Saccharomyces cerevisiae S288C: one gene and its partner. The gene in region 2 interacts genetically with the main gene of each other region. Each region holds a gene or a part of one and is shown on either strand. Other genes may lie near its edges.

Region 1 (3,756 bases), on a different chromosome or scaffold from region 2:
ATCAAAAACCCATTAAAGGTTAATTCAGATTCAACATCATCACGGTTTAGATCATCAATTTTAGACTGAGACATTTTTGGCAACGACTTAGAAGCCAAAGCCAAAACTCTTGAACCAGAGCGTGTAAAGGATTTATAGATTTCGTCATAATTCTTGGGAATGTCAGAAAGCCTTTCACGAATCGTTTCAGGTGCACCTTTGACAGCAGCAAACAAGGCATCGTTGTGAGAAGCAATAGAAGCAGACCTTTTTAAAGCAGAAGAAAATTGAAATCTACGGATAATATCCAATTTTCCGGTGCCCTCTCTATAGTTACTGTTTTTTCTTTCGACAGCCCAACCAACAGCCTTTAAGGTCGCCTTTTCCATTGGGTCACCAACAATATCACCATCTTCCAATTTAACTAAAGCGTGAGCAGCACCAATGACAAGAATTGTACTTTCTGGTGCTTCGGCAGCGCTGTACAAGTGACGAATGTTTTCGGAGTCCGCAGAGATACCAGCTAGACCTTCAAACACAAGATCTTCGCCGGTCAAAGTACCAGTTTTATCGAAACAACAAACATCAATTCTACCAGCAAATGGAATTCTAAATGGTTCAGTACAATAGACATAGAACTTGGCAAGGGCGGCCAGAGAACTGTTGACAGCCATGGTCAATTCCATTGGTAACTCAGGAGGAACAACAGATGTAATAATTAATATACAGTCCAAGATCAATTTGGATTGAATTCTACCCATTTTTGTACCCTCAACCCAAACGTACCAGGATGCAATAACAGCGAAAATCAACAAGAAAAGAATGAACATCAACGCTTCCTTATTATCGACGGAAACACGTTCAGCGGAGTAAATCATAACTCGAACTAAAGAACCCTGAGATGTTTCAAAGCCAGTTTTGGTGACGATGGCTAAGGCACCTCCATCAGGTGGAGGAGGGATATCCGATTTATGTTCAGGAGGTGTTACTTGTAATGCCTTTGTACCACCATGTAACACAGCAATCTTGTCAACACCGTCCAGTTGTAAATTATCTTCACTAGGACGTAATTTAATGGATTCCTTTAACAAGGGAGTAGATTCACCTGAAAGCATTGCTTCATTAACAATAGCGGAGCCATCGAGCAAGATCAAATCGCAAGGAATTGCGCTCTCCTCGGCGGTTCTTGTTATAGACACTAAATCCATAGGTAACAATTCATTGGTTTGCAATGCTACCCATTTTTTGTTTCTAAACACGTTAATGGTATAAGGTTTGATACCCATAGTTCTAAATTCCTTCAAGGCAGTTAATCTTTGAAATACTGCAGCTGCCTCCATGGAGATAATCATGAATAAGTTAAACAAAGAATAATACCAGAACTCATCCAATAGCCATAAGGCAACACAGAAAACTTGGAAAACAAACAATGGCGCAACAGCGTGCTCTTTGAATAATTCCATAAATGTTGGAATAGGAATATCAAAACTATTCTCACCATATAGTCTCTTCAAATGAGTTAGGTCACCGGAATGGCCCTTACATTTTTGGAAATCACCGATCTTTGGGGATTCATCAACAAGGAACTTTGGTGAAGAAAATACCTGCTCATTTTCATGCCACAAGAATCTTTTCTTTTGAAATTGGAAAAAAGTCTGCAAAGAGCCCGCTTCAGTTACTCTCTGAATTTCAACGATACCATCAGAACCATTATTTGGAGTGGTGTAGATGAGAATGTGAGTAGCTTCATTGACATTTTTAGTAGTACTGTAGTTGAATTTCGCCTTGATCTTGACATTCCAAGCAGGCATTAACATGACTAGGATGTTCAAGGATACCAATGTCCCCAAGTAGACAAAAGTCCACTCAGGTCCTTTGATGTAACGATCATATTGCTGGAAATATAGTTGGGCAAAGGTAGCGTATAACGGGAAAAACGGTAATACGTACGGCTTTGCTATTAATGACTTTGGTACCAGCAATGTCGAGTCCCTAACAATAGGACTGCTCACAAATGATTTCTTTGTCATTTACCGATTCCTATGTTTCTGTAGGTCTGATATGTCAACTATGTCTAGAGCTAAAAGCTTGCTAAAGCTTCATGTTATATGGTGGAAGAGACATTGCCACTTGGCTTTATTCAGAACACGCGAAGAGGAAGAGAAACGCGTAACGTATGGCGTGACAAGAAGCCACGAATGAGCAAGTAAGATAAGCCAAAGTATCACACATATTCATTAACAGAAGATATAGTGCCCCATAACTGCTTACAACACATTCAAACAAAAGAAGGAAATAAGCGTTTTAATACATAATTCTTTAATACACGAATAACAATTAATGAACTAAATAATCTGGAAATGAACTGAAAATTATGAATGACAAAAAGAAAAAAAGCCAAGAATGGAAGTCTTTTAGTAAACATTCCTGTGACATCAGACTCTCCAAACTTTATCGTCAGCAACCATTAAGTTATTTCTGTCCGACATGATCTTCAAACCTGCTAAATATTCTTGAGCGGAGAATTTTTCCTCCTCCGGTAGTTCTTCGTTGATTCTTTCGAACAAAGAGGCCACAGGATAGGATTCTTCTTCAAATATTTCTGTTTGCATCAGACGCGCAATAATACCTGAGATTAAAGACAATCTACCAGTAGAAATGGTACCAGGCTCCACATTGTCAAAAGAAATAACTGACTGTTGTTGCTCATCATCCTGACCTGCAGAAGATACGTTAGGTAATCTTGGAGTACCGACCTCGGTAAGAGGTCCCGACGAACCTTCCTCAGGTGCGTGAAGATGTTCTCTACGTCTTGGAGACACTCTCAACCCCAGTTGAAGCCTTCTTTGTAATTCAGCTTCCTCATCCGCAGGAAGCGGTGACATTATATCGTTATCGTCTTCACCAGCGTTCTGTTCGTCATCTTGAAAACGTAATATTCTGCGTGCTGACGATGGCGTGGCATTAACGGAAGATGCCGTTGACCTTCTTGGAGTAGATTTGATTGGGGATCCAGAGTTGCTTGCTGGTTGTCTGACTCTTTGTCTTTTTTTCGGTGATTTCTGTGGAGACCTCTTCGACAAAGCTTCTTCGTATTCACTTTCCTCTTCATCGATATCATTGCCGATATCCTCACCCAATAGTGCAAACCTTAGTAGATTGGCAGCCACTTTAGCATCCACCTTGTTGACTGTTTTGGATAACCTGACTTTGGCGTGAGCTGTGGCTAATCTGATCAAAGTCTCCAAAGTTCTTGCAGTAATGGGCGATTTTTTGGTATTATCATCGTTTCTTAAATCAGTATAATTTTTCACAATAACATTGATGGCTTCTTGTGTTAACTGTGGAATAACCCTTTCCTTGGCATATTGAACGTACTTTCTTAAGAATGGGATGGTGACTAGCTTTGGAATTTCTGTACCGTTATAGTTACCTTTGTTTTTTGCTAACTTAGCACCTGCTTGTAATAAGGGGTTGAACTTTTCGAAGACATGGTCTTCATCATCTTCTCCTTCATTTTCTACACCAGCCCCGGAGTTGGAATGCTCTTCAGGATTTATATCTGCATCCTCCCCAACGGCTAATGATAAATTCAAACGCTCTCTCACAGGTTCACCCTCTAAATAACCTGGAGGCAAATATCTGTGTGTTCTTAAGACATGCTCACTAATGGATCTATCTCTGATTTCATTGATATCGTCTGTCACAACAAATAGTAAATCAAAACGAGACAACAGCGAGTCCGGTAGGGCAATGTTTTGGTGTGGATCTCTATTG
Region 2 (3,756 bases):
TAAACCAGTAAAGGTTAAATCTTTGATTAGGTCTTCGGTTAGAGGAGTTGATGAATCAGACAAAGTTAGTTTAGCAAATCCAAAGACACGCAAACCTTCAGATGCCATAGAATTTGCGCACTCATTTATCGTAGCTTTTTGGGCTTCAGTCAACTTTTCAGTTTTTTTACCCTTTGATTTCAAATAACTTGTGGAGTACTCAAGAATTCTTTCAAATGCACCTTTAACATAAACTGTACACTTATTGTCGACAGGGTTGAGAATCTTGGTTGCCATTAATTTTCTTTTCGAGTTAAATGGAAGTTCCTGAACTTTTTGAACGGTGTTTCTGATATCAGGCATTTCAAAGTTTGCCAATTGCTCTAAAAGAGCTACATCAGTAGGATTTCCCAGAAATATGGCATGTTCTTGAGAGAAAGATGCATTATTACAGAGATTACCGATAGTTAGAGTTTCCCTAACGTCTTCAGTCAAATAGTTTTTCAAATTTCCATTAGAATTTTTAGTCTTCTTATTTTTGTCTAATGAGAGGACGTTTAGCTTATTGGACATACTGTCCAAGCACCAAAGTTTAGATACGGTCATGTGGTTTGAGGTTAGTGTACCTGTTTTGTCGGAGCAGATAACGTTGACAGAGCCTAAAGTTTCGACACTTGGTAACCTTCTCACGATGGCTTTACGCTTGGCCATTCTCAGAACACCCAATGCCAAAGTAACAGTGACAATAATTGGTAACCCTTCTGGAATAGCAGCAACCGCTAAGGATACCGATATTTGGAACATTTCTAACCAAGATCTACCTTGTATGATACCAACTAAACAAATCATACCAATAACTATGAAGCTAACCAGTGACAAGTCCTTTCCCAATTTGTCCATTGTTAACTGCAATGGAGTCTTCGGTTTTTCAATATTATTCATCATTTCAAAAACGGCACCAAAGGATGTGTTTGTACCTGTTCCTACGACGATACCCTTACCATGACCTTCCTTGACTAATGTACCCATATAAGCTATACAAGATCTCTCAGAAATCGGTACAATTGAATTAGGCTGATCGTTAAAGGAAGATTTTTCGATCGTTTGTGAGGTTTTATGTACCGGTTCATTTTCACCAGTTAAATTACTTTCATCGATGGATAAATCGATTGCTTCAATAATTCTAATGTCTGCGGGGATTCTGTCACCTATTCTGAAGTGCACTAAATCACCAGGAACCAAGGTGGAAGCCAGTACATGACTCTCTTGACCACATCTCATTAAGTGACATTCAGCAGGAACCAATTTATTCAACGCTTCTAGAGATTTTTCAGACCTATATTCTTGGACAAAACCGACAGTGACAACTATGAAAATGGCCAGTGTGATACTAACAGCATCATCAATGTTACCCATAAAAAGAGAGACCACTGCGGATCCTATTAAAAGTAGAATCATTCGATCCTCAATGAAATTTGACAAGAACTTCTTGAAAAGACTTTCATCATCTTCTACGGTTATTTCATTGGGGCCATAAAGTGATCTCCTATTGTTGGCCTCGTTAGATGATCGTAAACCACCGTTTTTGTCAGTGTCCAGTTTTTCTAGAGCTTCGTCCACGGATAAAGTACAATACTCTAAAGAAGGGCTTGGTTTCGAAAGGGCCTCTGCTGTGGCATCTAGTATTTCTCTCTCACGGTTTGAGTCCTCGTCAAGAAGACTCGCATTAAATGGATTGTCACTCATAATTATCTTATCTTTTACTTACACTTAAGCTTACGTCTGTGCTGGCCTTGCTTCGTCTTGTCTTGCCCAGTCGTAAGGATATTATTATAGTTACTAGTATTGTTATAAATGGGAATGGAAAGAACGGGGCGAGCAAACACTATTATGATGGTGTAGAAAAAGAGGTTTTTCTATTAAGTGCTTGAAGGAAGGGCTATAGTGTACGATGGCCTAGGGAACAAGATCTCGATATAACGATAGGTAGGGTCCACACTGTTAACAAAAAAAGTACTTCTTTAAATAGAGAATCTTGTCTTGATGTAACAAAATGAAAAAAAAAAAAAATGCAACTAGAATGTAGAATACAAAAGTTTAACGATCGGCTTTGCTGTTAAGTGGTTATCTAGGGATGAGCTGAACGTGCAATTGATACCAACCGATCCTTGCTAGGAACGCAACTCTTTTCACCCACCTTCCACCACTACGATCGTGAAAGAATATTTGCTAAGAAAATCGCCAAAACGAGGCGAAGTCGCCAGGGTGCGCGGGCACGCAGGGTAAGAGCCGCAAGGCCTGGTTCGGTAAGTATTAAGCTGTGGACGAAATAGCAGTAGCCATGGCGATGTAATTTATTAGACGGCGGCTTGATAAAAGAGGACTGATAATCAGTGTATTCACAGAATGGTCGTAATTAACGGGGTCAAATATGCCTGTGAAACGTGTATCAGGGGTCACAGGGCGGCGCAGTGTACTCACACTGATGGTCCGCTACAGATGATCAGACGCAAGGGAAGACCATCGACCACATGTGGCCATTGTAAAGAGCTGAGAAGAACCAAGAACTTCAACCCATCCGGTGGGTGCATGTGTGCCTCTGCACGACGGCCAGCTGTTGGCAGCAAGGAAGATGAAACACGATGTCGTTGTGATGAGGGTGAACCTTGTAAATGTCATACCAAGAGGAAAAGCAGCCGGAAATCAAAGGGAGGGTCATGCCACAGAAGGGCAAATGATGAAGCAGCGCATGTCAATGGTCTCGGTATTGCAGATCTGGACGTTCTTTTGGGCCTAAATGGTCGCTCGTCGGATGTAGACATGACAACCACATTGCCGAGTTTGAAGCCACCTCTGCAAAACGGAGAAATTAAGGCCGACAGCATTGACAATCTTGATTTGGCTTCCCTCGATCCGCTTGAGCAAAGCCCTAGTATATCTATGGAACCTGTTAGTATCAATGAAACAGGAAGCGCATATACAACTACGAACACAGCACTAAACGATATTGACATTCCATTCTCCATCAATGAGTTGAACGAGCTATACAAACAAGTATCTTCGCATAACTCACATTCACAATAATGCATCTGGACATCTATATAAATATACATATACATATATTGGCGGTTGTTTGTTCTCCCGGCAAGCTGGCAGTCGGGCCGAGATTCGGATAAATTTTTCCATTCGTATACATATACATAGATATATACAATTATAAAATTTGTCCAAGGCTGCACAGGATACGTAACCATCCTAAAGTTTTAGGTTTTTTAACTTTTTTTCTGTCTCTTCAATTGTCGAATTGCTTATTCTATCCTTTCTGGAGTTCGTATTTTCATCGTTCAAATATATAGATAACCTTTCATCACTCACTTCCAATATACTTTTCTGATCGTTACTTTGTAAGGACGTCAGCCGAATGATGTACTCCAGTAGTGTGATCGACGAATCCTTGTCCTCCAATTTATTTTCTTCTTCTTCTTCTTCCTTTCGTTCTTCTCCGTCTTTTCCTTCCTCTTCGTCCTCCTCTTCATCTTCCTCTTCATCTTCCTCTATCGCTTCATATCCGCTTACCGCATACCAAGTAATGTCATCGAGTAATCCCTTGTCTCCTTCACTGCTCTCATTTTCTTTGTCATCGCTCCGGTCAATCTTCAATACCAACACTGGAGAATCCTGTTCTTCTAATCGGAGAAGCTTACCGGAAACACTGAAAAACAGCTTCTTAATATGGTTCAGATCTATGGCAAGTTCCTGTGGTGTGTCTTCTTTGTC

What was found. Genes that interact genetically often act in the same process or in processes that back each other up.
Region 1: mutations in PMR1 (region 2) and SPF1 together harm fitness more than expected from each alone (negative genetic interaction), as found in Saccharomyces cerevisiae (6 studies listed by BioGRID, with this or other methods).

Annotation. Positions count from the first base shown.
Region 1 is NC_001137.3:88,511-92,266, reverse strand, and holds the start of SPF1 (ion-transporting P-type ATPase SPF1), read right to left. Parts: upstream 2,010-3,756; coding exon 1-2,009. Other genes in the region: MCM DNA helicase complex subunit MCM3, read right to left, coding at 2,415-3,756. UniProt on the Saccharomyces cerevisiae protein: Endoplasmic reticulum translocase required to remove mitochondrial transmembrane proteins mistargeted to the endoplasmic reticulum.
Region 2 is NC_001139.9:188,744-192,499, forward strand, and holds the start of PMR1 (Ca(2+)/Mn(2+)-transporting P-type ATPase PMR1), read right to left. Parts: upstream 1,726-3,756; coding exon 1-1,725. Other genes in the region: CUP2 (Cup2p), read left to right, coding at 2,386-3,063; YRB30 (Yrb30p), read right to left, coding at 3,235-3,756. UniProt on the Saccharomyces cerevisiae protein: This magnesium-dependent enzyme catalyzes the hydrolysis of ATP coupled with the transport of calcium. Has a role in the secretory pathway.